2 linked regions of the Coturnix japonica genome follow. The protein of the gene in region 1 interacts with the protein of each later gene in a biochemical or structural test. Links are inferred from orthologs where the notes say so. Each region holds a gene or a part of one and is shown on either strand. Other genes may lie near its edges. The genes, in order: ZHX1 and NFYA.

Region 1 (4,496 bases):
GCTTAACATGTCGTGGGGGTTCCCAAGTATCACTATCATCCGTTTCCTCTTCATCTTCCTGATCTTCCAGCATTTCATCTTCCTCCTCGTTTTCCTCAAACAGCTCTATTCCGAGTTCTAATCTTCTCTGCCTTTCTGCAAACCACTCTCTGACCTGCTCATACCCCATGTGAGATTTAGCTACGAGTTCATCAAGGTCTTGCTCATTAAGGAATTTGTGCTTCATATAGTAGTCCTTCAAGATTGCTGTTCCAGTTTTGAATTTTATGACAGACACACCTCGGTCCCAGCAATTTAACCTCTTGCTTCCCCGAGGCCTCCCTCGAGGCCTCCCTCTTCCCCGCCCCTTTGGTCTTCCTCTCCCTCTCTTCCTTGAAAAGCCTTGGCCATTCAGACTGTTTGCATTGGCACTCTGGTAGTAATAATACCACTTCAATCCCCCATTTTTCCAGGCATAGCGAGTATCTCCAAACCAACTCACAATTTCTGATCTCGGGAGCCCCGTTTCTTCTGCCAGCTTGTTGTACTCCTGTGGAGATGGCCACTGAGTACGGACAAAAGAACTTTTAAGCATGTGCAACTGCTCTGGTGATTTTTTGCCTACTTTGCTTGAAGCGGTGCTCCCTGATTTTGACCCTGCTGCTCCATCTCCCACAGATGTTTCTCCCGCAGCTTCCTCTTTTGAGCTGCTGGCATTGCTCTCATTCATCTCAGTCCCCTCCTCCTTTAAGACAGTAGATTTCCTTCTTTCTGTAAACCAGGCATCAATCTCTCTCCTGGTAAGTTTGGTTTGGGCTCTTAACCTATTCATCTCTTCATCAGTAAGGACAGGATTATTAAGAAAACTTGCTTGGAGGACTTGCAACTGCTCGGCTGTCTTCTCTTTGAATTTCTGTGGGGTGAAGTCAGGAAATGCACTCCAGGACGACTTGTTCTGTGGAACAACTCCTGTTGGAGACTCATTCATTTCGTCACTGGAGTCAATAATGATGGTGGCACATGAGTCACTGTTGAGATGGATCCCATGGTTATTCTTTGAGTTTCTCTGATTGTAGCGTGTATCGCTGAACCACTTCTTGATCTCTCCCTTAGTCAGGCCTGTTATTTTCATAAGTCTACTAATTTCTGAATCCTGAGGAAACTGATTTTTAAGGTAGCTGACCTTTAATTCTGCCAGTTGCTCCTTTGTTTTTTTTGCTCGCATGCCAAAGTTATCGGGATTCATGTGTGCGGTTTCATTTTTGATAGGCTGAGGGGCTGGAACGGCAGCAACTTGTTTGGTTTCTGCAATAGGCTGAGCAGTGTGAATCTGACTCTTCTGTAACTGGGTTTGGTTTGGGACTCCTGCTACAGTCAAAGCTATTGGGGCTGTTACTGGTAACGTATTTGCACCTGCAACTTGAGTGAGAACAAGTCCTGGCTGACCAACTATTTGGCATGTCTGTAAAATTGAAGGTAAACCATTGCTGGCAGCGGAAATATGCGCTGGAATAACGGTAATTGTCTGTGGCACAGTATGCACTGTGCCATTAAATTGTTTCCTCCTTGCTTCCTCCACTTCCTCTGGTGTCCAGCTCACACCATGTTTCAGACGCTGGGCAGAAAACCAGATTTTAATCTGTTCCTCGGTGTACTTAGCTTGAGTGGAAAGAACAGTGATCTCTGACATGGTTGGATATGGGAATTTGTTATAGGTGTTGAGCAAAAGAGGATTGTTGTCCAAAGCAGTATTATAGGTTGGAATGCTGTTTACAGGTATCAGGACTTTGGGGATCAGGTTTGAGTTCTGTGGAGCTGTAACAGCCGTTATAACCTGTGCCACCCCAGGCTGAATCACTGGGGTCACAACCGTACTAGCTACATCGGCCGCACTGCAAGCAACCGAATGGCTCGCTTTGGACTCAGAAACTGCCAGTGGTGGGTTTTCTACTACTTCTTCAGAGTTTGGCTCATTTTCCTTTCCCTTCTCTTCACCAGGAATGCCATCGACTACATTGTGGAAAACAGCAATGCGTTTAGTCTCAGTTTTGTTTTTCATCATTTTCATAATAGGAGTTTTGCTAATGGAGATCCCAGCGGAGGGGGGCTCAGAAGGGTCAGCCTGTTCAGCATTTTCTTCTCTAACAAAACTCCCATCAAAAGTGAGATCATTTACTGTTTGTTCAAAGATTGTCTGATTATTACGTTTCACCATGGTCAACTTAAAATTCTCCTCTCCAGGGTGATACTTCAAATTATGTTCTGAGAGAGCATCGTATCTTTTGGTGAGAAAATTGCATTCTACACAGACATAGGATGAATTTAATACTACATTGGGATGTTCTGAGTCCACATGGAAAGTAAACATATTGAGATCTGGAGTCTGAAAAGAACAGTATTTACACTCATAACCACCTTCTACTTTATTTGTATTTTTCTGATTGTCTGAATCCACGTTCTCATGGACATCCTCTTCGCTTGCTATGCTCTCTGCTGTAGGATTATTATCTGCTGGCTTGACTACAGGTGGTCCTTCCTCCAAGTCTGATACCATTTCGAGATCCGGATCTTGCTCGTTGGCCAAGACCATGCACGGTGTTGTTGATTTTCGTTTACTTGCCATGCCTGTTAGGTGAAAGTGATACTGACTGGTCAGATACAGACTTAGCTTCAAGCTCTTCTTGATTAATAATAATGGCTTTTGGTACTTCAAGTCAGTTCTTGTAACGTCTCAACATTTATCCCATTAGCAGCTTTTCTTTTGTAGTGCAATCAGATTAAAAAGAGACAGTTGAGGATGAAATGTTGAGACACTGTTTTAAAGTCCACATCCACCACCTGTAGCAAAGAAGAGACAGTATAATTAGTTCAATTTAAAGAGTATCTTCTATTCTGACACACAGTATGATTTAATTCAACCCTTTGGTGTTCAATCTGCCACTGTTCACCCCTGAAACCAGCAGACCCATTCCAAGAAGAGACTGATCCTCAAGGCTAGAGTAAGAAAGGCAAATTCCAACTTACTTATTATCAGCTCAAATTTATGCAATGAATGCAACAAAAGGCATAAGACAGAGAATGGCACAGAAAATATAATCTTCTGTTTCCCTACAAATTTTGGCAGTCTTACCCTTGGACTGCTTTATCTAGGCTACAACACTCTTTCAGCTGCAATAGAAGCTCAAGTCCTTCCCATCACAAACTCAGCATGGCATCCCCGTGATGGTCTTGTCTGCTATGCCCAAGGGTGTGAAGGCTCCTAGAAAATGAACGCTTAGCATATTTTTCTACTGCATTATGTACATACATGTATGCATGCCCTGGGTCATTTCTCCCAAGTTTGAAAAGAGACGAAACAACGCCTTGTTAAGGCACTCCACAAGACAGGGATGGCAGACCTCTCTTCCTAGCTCCCCAGATGTCATTCTCCAATTGAAGGCCAATCCCAGACCAATAAATTGTTAGCATGTGGTAATTAACTACATTGTTTTCATAGCTCCGTGCATTAATGGGGACAAGACTGACCATGCAAACTTCACTAGAGAAAAGGCATTAAAGAGTGACACAGTAGGCAGAAGCCAAAGAAAATTATATATTTTCTATTCAGAATTCCTACTTCATTTATAAGAAAAAAACTACTGAAGTACAAATTAAATTTGAGGCCTACATAAATTCAGAGAATAAATATGTTCTTAAATTGCCCAGAGTGGAGTGAGCTGTTATCCCATGGGGACCACAACTAGTCTATTGGAAATGATGCACAAGCTACTGAAAAGGGTTATAAACTCTGTAACAGTTTCCTTCTTAAAACAAAATGAGACACTGATTGCTCAAGCCAGAAATCCCATAGATTCATGAATTTTTATATAGCAGAACATCACCTACTTCCCAGAGCAATGGCATGCTCAAGTGCAAAAGGAAGACTCAAGCAGCTGTTTCAGAAGGTTTATAAAGGTAACAGCATGTAACAGGTTAAAAACAGAAAGACAGCTTTGCTCATGACAGAATCTTAAAAGAAAGCAGTGTCAAAAGAAGAGTAAAGAAGTGAGAAAGGGAAAAAAATACCATTTCTGCTCCAAACACAATCTTTAATTTTGATAACGTGGACAGCAGATGCTGTTCTTAACCTCACACATTTTTTCTTCAGGCCAAAGACATTAGCGTTCATCCACAGCTATCACACAGCACTGCTCTGTAAGCTGATTTTTGAGACTGCACATCACCACAGTCATCTGCAAAATCCTCACCAAATGTCTGTAAGTGATCCTCCAAATCTATCTGTACTACTTCTGTGCACAGCCTGGCACAACGGGCTGCTTATGCCAAGGGTATGATTACACAGCATTAAGGACACTGACAGCGCTGGTAGATAAATCTTAGGTAATCATCATTTTGGAATGATAATTATTTCGTAGCACTGGACTTGAATGATGCTCTTCTTCCACAAACTAATGCTGGCACTCTGGAAAACAGCACAGAGGTGCAAAACTATTTATTTTAATGTATATACAAAGCAT
Region 2 (4,589 bases), on another chromosome or scaffold:
TGGGGTTCCTACACTCAGTCACTACCATAAAGGGAAAGAGACTTGGAAAAAGAACTGTGTTTCACAGCTTGAAATAGTGTAATTCAGCAGCTTGTTCTGTGAATGTAGGAGTATAAATAAACACACACAAGAGAGCTTGGCTACTCCTCAATAGGAAGACTTGAGTAATACATCTCACTTACGTAGGAGAAAGTACTCAATGTTATTAAAGCTGTCACCGTAATATCTAATACAGCCTTGTTACAGGGGAGCATTTGAGTCATTCTCTACTCTTACCAGGTAGTAAATATACCGGTCATCTCTTTGGAGAACTGCCACCTCCCCAGTCTTCTTTTCTAAAGGGAAAAAGGTGCTATTTTAGGAACAGTTACAGTCCTGCTGTGCAACTGACCCTGAAACCCTGGTAGCAACCTTCAAAGCTGGAAATCTTAGTCCTTAAAATCCCACGATGGTACAAAATTACTCACGTTGATCTAACAGCTCTTGGACGCCTCCAAACTTCTTCTTAAACAGGACAGCGATGCCTGCACCCATCCGACAGTCCTCACTGATGCAATGAGCCAACGCGTCCGTTGGGGGGCAGGAAAACAGGTCTCCTTTAACACACTTGATCTAGAAAGCAAACACAGGTGTGAAAGCTGAGTGCTGGCCACGATAACAGAACATCCATGTTAAACCAGTCTGTACAATGCTATCTATTTGGTAGTGCGTTTAATATGTAGATTATAAACTCAATATAGTGATATCTTTTACAGGATCAGATATATGAGAAGCACACTGCAGCTATGCCAGCACCACACACTGCCAGACACTTCAACACCTGAGCTCTGTGCTGATGCCAAGTAACAGCATCACTGATATAAGCCCAACAGCACTTTATTATCTGTCCCAAAAGCTACATGGTCCAATCTGCTGCCAATATGAGGCAGGGATGTCCCAGCACACACAGCAGCAGCCCATAGAACCCTTGTATTATGTACTACGCACTCGCTCGCCCTGCTCCTGGACGTGGGTGGCCATGGTGGTGCGGGCTGTGAAGGCTCCTGCGGCTGGAAAGATGGCGGAGAGAAGAACAGAGTTAATGGAAACCACGGGCTGGGAACGAGGCCGTGTGTGCGCAGGGCTGGGCCTTCACCCAGCAGGGTTAGAGCCGACAATACAGCCGATATGGGGGAAGAACGATAAGGGGAAGCAGGGCCCCAGTGTCCCACAAGGTAGGCCCGGCCAGAGCCCACAGGCCACGTGTTGCTCTCCAGGCCACCCCAGCCCGCTGTAGGCCCCCTCAGCACACACGGCCCACCCGCGGGCACGACGTGAACGACGGGCCGCCCAGCCCGGGCCTGCACGGCGGTGAGCCCGGCCAGCCTGGTGAGCCGGCCCAGCACGGCCCGCATCGCTCCGTCACCTCCACTGCCACACTGCGGCGTCACGTCAAAATGGCCGCCACCACCACCCGCTACCCAGCCCCTCTAGGCAGCCTGGAGGAACGCCGCCTCTATGGTACCCGCCGAGAACATTCCGCAGACCAACCTACCGCCCGAGGGCGCATGCGCGAGACCCTCAGAGGCGGAACCTACAGATCACGTGACGGGATGAGGGCGGAGCCGCGGCGGCGCGTGCGCAGTGCGGGCGTTGGCGGCCCCGCGAGGCACTCGCACCCCTTTGTGCGCATGCGCATTGTGCGCGGGCGGGCGGGCCGCGGGTGGGCGGGGCCATCCGGAGCGAGCGGCACACTGCGCATGCGCCGCCCGCGCCCGCCCCCTCCCCTGCCTTTGTTCGGGGTTGGGCGCCATTTTAACGCGGCGGGCGAGTGCGGGCGCTGATTGGGTTTCGGGGTCCGGTAGCGGAGCCAATCAGCGCGGGACCCGAACCGGGGGAGCGAGGCACGGTGAGTGCGAGCAGCCAATATGGAGCAACCGAGCGGCGGAACCAGCGCCGGGATTGGCGGGACACAGTGACCAGTCAGGAGGCCGCGTGTAGGGCCGGGCTGGGGGGGAACCAGGGGACGGGGCCGAGGGGGAACGGGGGGAAACGGGCGGAGAGAAGGAACGGGCGGAGAGAGCAACGATCGTTGGGCCGAGGGATGGAGGAGGAGGAGGCGGCCAGGCCGGGGCCGCTGCTTGGGGCCGGGCTCCGTGCGGGGCTGCGGGACCGCGGGAGGCAGCGCCCCGCCCTCGAGACGGGAGAGCAGCACCACACGGTGACACATAACACATGGAACGGGTGAAACGGGCCGACCCGCTGATACAGCACACACCGGGTACACACAGCGGGGACACGGCCAACATGGAGCACAATAGTGCTCGGTGCGGGCAGCTGGAGCTGTGGGATGAGCTGTGGGGGAGCACACACTGAACCATAAGGCTGAGCTTTGGGATCCTGCTTTGATAGAGTAACACTAGTGCTTTATTTCAATGAAGGGATCCCTTGGAGGGCTGCGATCTGCACATGTGAAACGTTCAGCTCCCAGCCACAACCTGCACACCTGGATTCAGTGCTACCTTATGTTATAGAGACAGGCCTGACACAAGAGAAAACACTTTCCAATAGAAGCATCCTTTAATTTGTGATTTGGTGCTGGGAGATGTTGCAGATAGAGCTTAGTGGTGTCCTGTGCTTGTTACTGAGCAGCTTCCCTGCAGAATGAGCTGCTTCCTGCTGGGCCCACAGGCAGCGATGGTAGCAATTAAATATGCTGTGCAGAATTCAAATGGAGGCTTTGATAGGCAGCAGCATCTGCAGAGGGAAGAGAATAAAGCATCTTCTGGTAGGCAGTGAGAAACCATTGCTAAGTGAGCACGGATGGGGCTGATGCTGCATCAGAGTGCAGGGCCTTCCTTTGCTGCGACTCAGGCTATCACTGATGTCCAGGCTTAGTATCACTGCATCAAAGTTCTGACCCAGAGTCTCAATTCTTACATTATATTTTATATCTAAGCTTTGTTTTCTGTTCTGAAGTCAGGTGACATTAACAAAGGAAGGGCTGCAATTAGACCATGGCTGTTAATCAGAGTGTGCTCAAGGCACTACCTCCATGTTAGCAGGTGCTTTGCTTTTCAGCTGCTGTAGGTCACAACAACCTTCAGACATTGGGACAATAATCACGTGGGTTTTTTTCTCCTTTCTTGCCAGGTCCACAGACTGCGCTGTGCCTTGGTCAGCCTTGGAACTGAAGCGGGATGGAGCAGTACACAGCCAACAGCAACAGCTCCACAGAGCAGATCGTTGTGCAGGCGGGGCAGATCCAGCAGCAGGTATGGGCAGTTACAATGGTCGAGCTGCTGTTGGTGGGTTACAGACCTTCACAGTTGCAAAGAACCAGCGGGACACTCTGTGATCCCCTCTGAGTTTACCTGAGTTCTGTCACTACAAGAAATCAAAATGAGCACAAGAATTGCAAAAAATGACTAAAAGCCAGGACCACTAAGCATGTAGCTTTGGAGGAGTTCATCCGTGCCAGACAGATCGAGTTTATGTGTTGGAACACACAAGTTGTTTGGCTGGTTTGGGTTCGGTTTTAAGGCTTGTAGGTTTTCAGTTAAGTTTCATCCACTCACACTGATTCCAGCAGGTAACCAAAGATGTATTTGATGTTATTGGTATCTTCAAAGTAATAGAGGTGAACACATTCACTGACCTGTTTCATTTTAAGTACGTGCTCCCAAACACGGTGATTTGCTGCGTGTGAAATGTTTTTCTAAGTGATTTTTTCCACTTGAAGCCAGTTGTAAAGCCTTCAGGAGAGAGGCCGCCCTTCGTCTCTCAAAATGCTAACACGGTTATCATTGATTATTTTGGGACTCTTACTAAGGAGGCTAAAGATAGACGAGGCTTTTAGATTGAACTGCTCTTGCAACATCTCAAGATCGTCCTTCAAGGTCAGTGGTGGGAAGACATAGATGGAGGGATGACACAGATGAACTCAGCAGCACAGCAGACTCTTCCTTGCAGGAAGGAACGTGTGGTACTTGTTGTAACCAACAAGTCGCAATTTTGGAAGCCTTTCACAAGACGTCTGAGCAGTGCAAGGAAACATGGAGCACACAGACAGCAGCAGAGAATTTAGTTCCTGCAAAATGACCTCTCCTGTGTTTTGTAACCAACTTGTGTTTGGAATGTTGAAGCTCATCAGTGTGATGTGCAGATTTGCCAGCATTCCGCCCTTAGATTCGTTAACTCACGTTCTGTGTGTTCCAAGAGCAGCGTATGTGAATTGTAAAATTCATCCTCGTCAGCAAAGTGTGGTTGTGTCTGGTGTGAGCTGTGCATTTCCCTGTTTCAAGCTCTTCCTGTTCCTGTTCCCAGCAGCAGGGTGGTGTCACTGCTGTCCAGCTGCAGACTGAGGCCCAGGTGGCATCCGCCTCAGGCCAGCAAGTCCAGACCCTCCAGGTAGTGGTGACCTCTCTAATTGTGTTTGTGAGCACTGCATGACTCTCCATCACCACATATCTAATGCTGTGTTTTTTACAGGGTTTCAAATAGGGATGGGAAAATTGTTGGCCAATACTGTGTGCTTGATGTGAGGCTTCCCATCAGGTTATAGCTTTTCATTGGATCACAGGTGCATTCATGAATTCCAGCTGTTGTAA

What was found.
Region 2: the proteins of ZHX1 (region 1) and NFYA form a complex in vitro, tested with the Homo sapiens proteins (2 studies listed by BioGRID). The link is inferred for Coturnix japonica from reciprocal best matches to the Homo sapiens genes ZHX1 and NFYA.

What each region holds. Positions count from the first base shown.
Region 1 is NC_029517.1:124,385,161-124,389,656, forward strand, and holds the start of ZHX1 (zinc fingers and homeoboxes protein 1), read right to left. Parts: upstream 2,818-4,496; 5' UTR 2,603-2,817; coding exon 1-2,602. UniProt on the Homo sapiens protein: Acts as a transcriptional repressor. Increases DNMT3B-mediated repressive transcriptional activity when DNMT3B is tethered to DNA. May link molecule between DNMT3B and other co-repressor proteins.
Region 2 is NC_029541.1:4,499,648-4,504,236, forward strand, and holds the start of NFYA (nuclear transcription factor Y subunit alpha), read left to right. Parts: upstream 1-1,750; 5' UTR 1,751-1,976; intron 1,977-3,132; 5' UTR 3,133-3,179; coding exon 3,180-3,254; intron 3,255-4,305; coding exon 4,306-4,392; intron 4,393-4,589. Other genes in the region: ADP-ribose glycohydrolase OARD1, read right to left, coding at 277-335, 468-612, 988-1,049, 1,301-1,394. UniProt on the Homo sapiens protein: Component of the sequence-specific heterotrimeric transcription factor (NF-Y) which specifically recognizes a 5'-CCAAT-3' box motif found in the promoters of its target genes.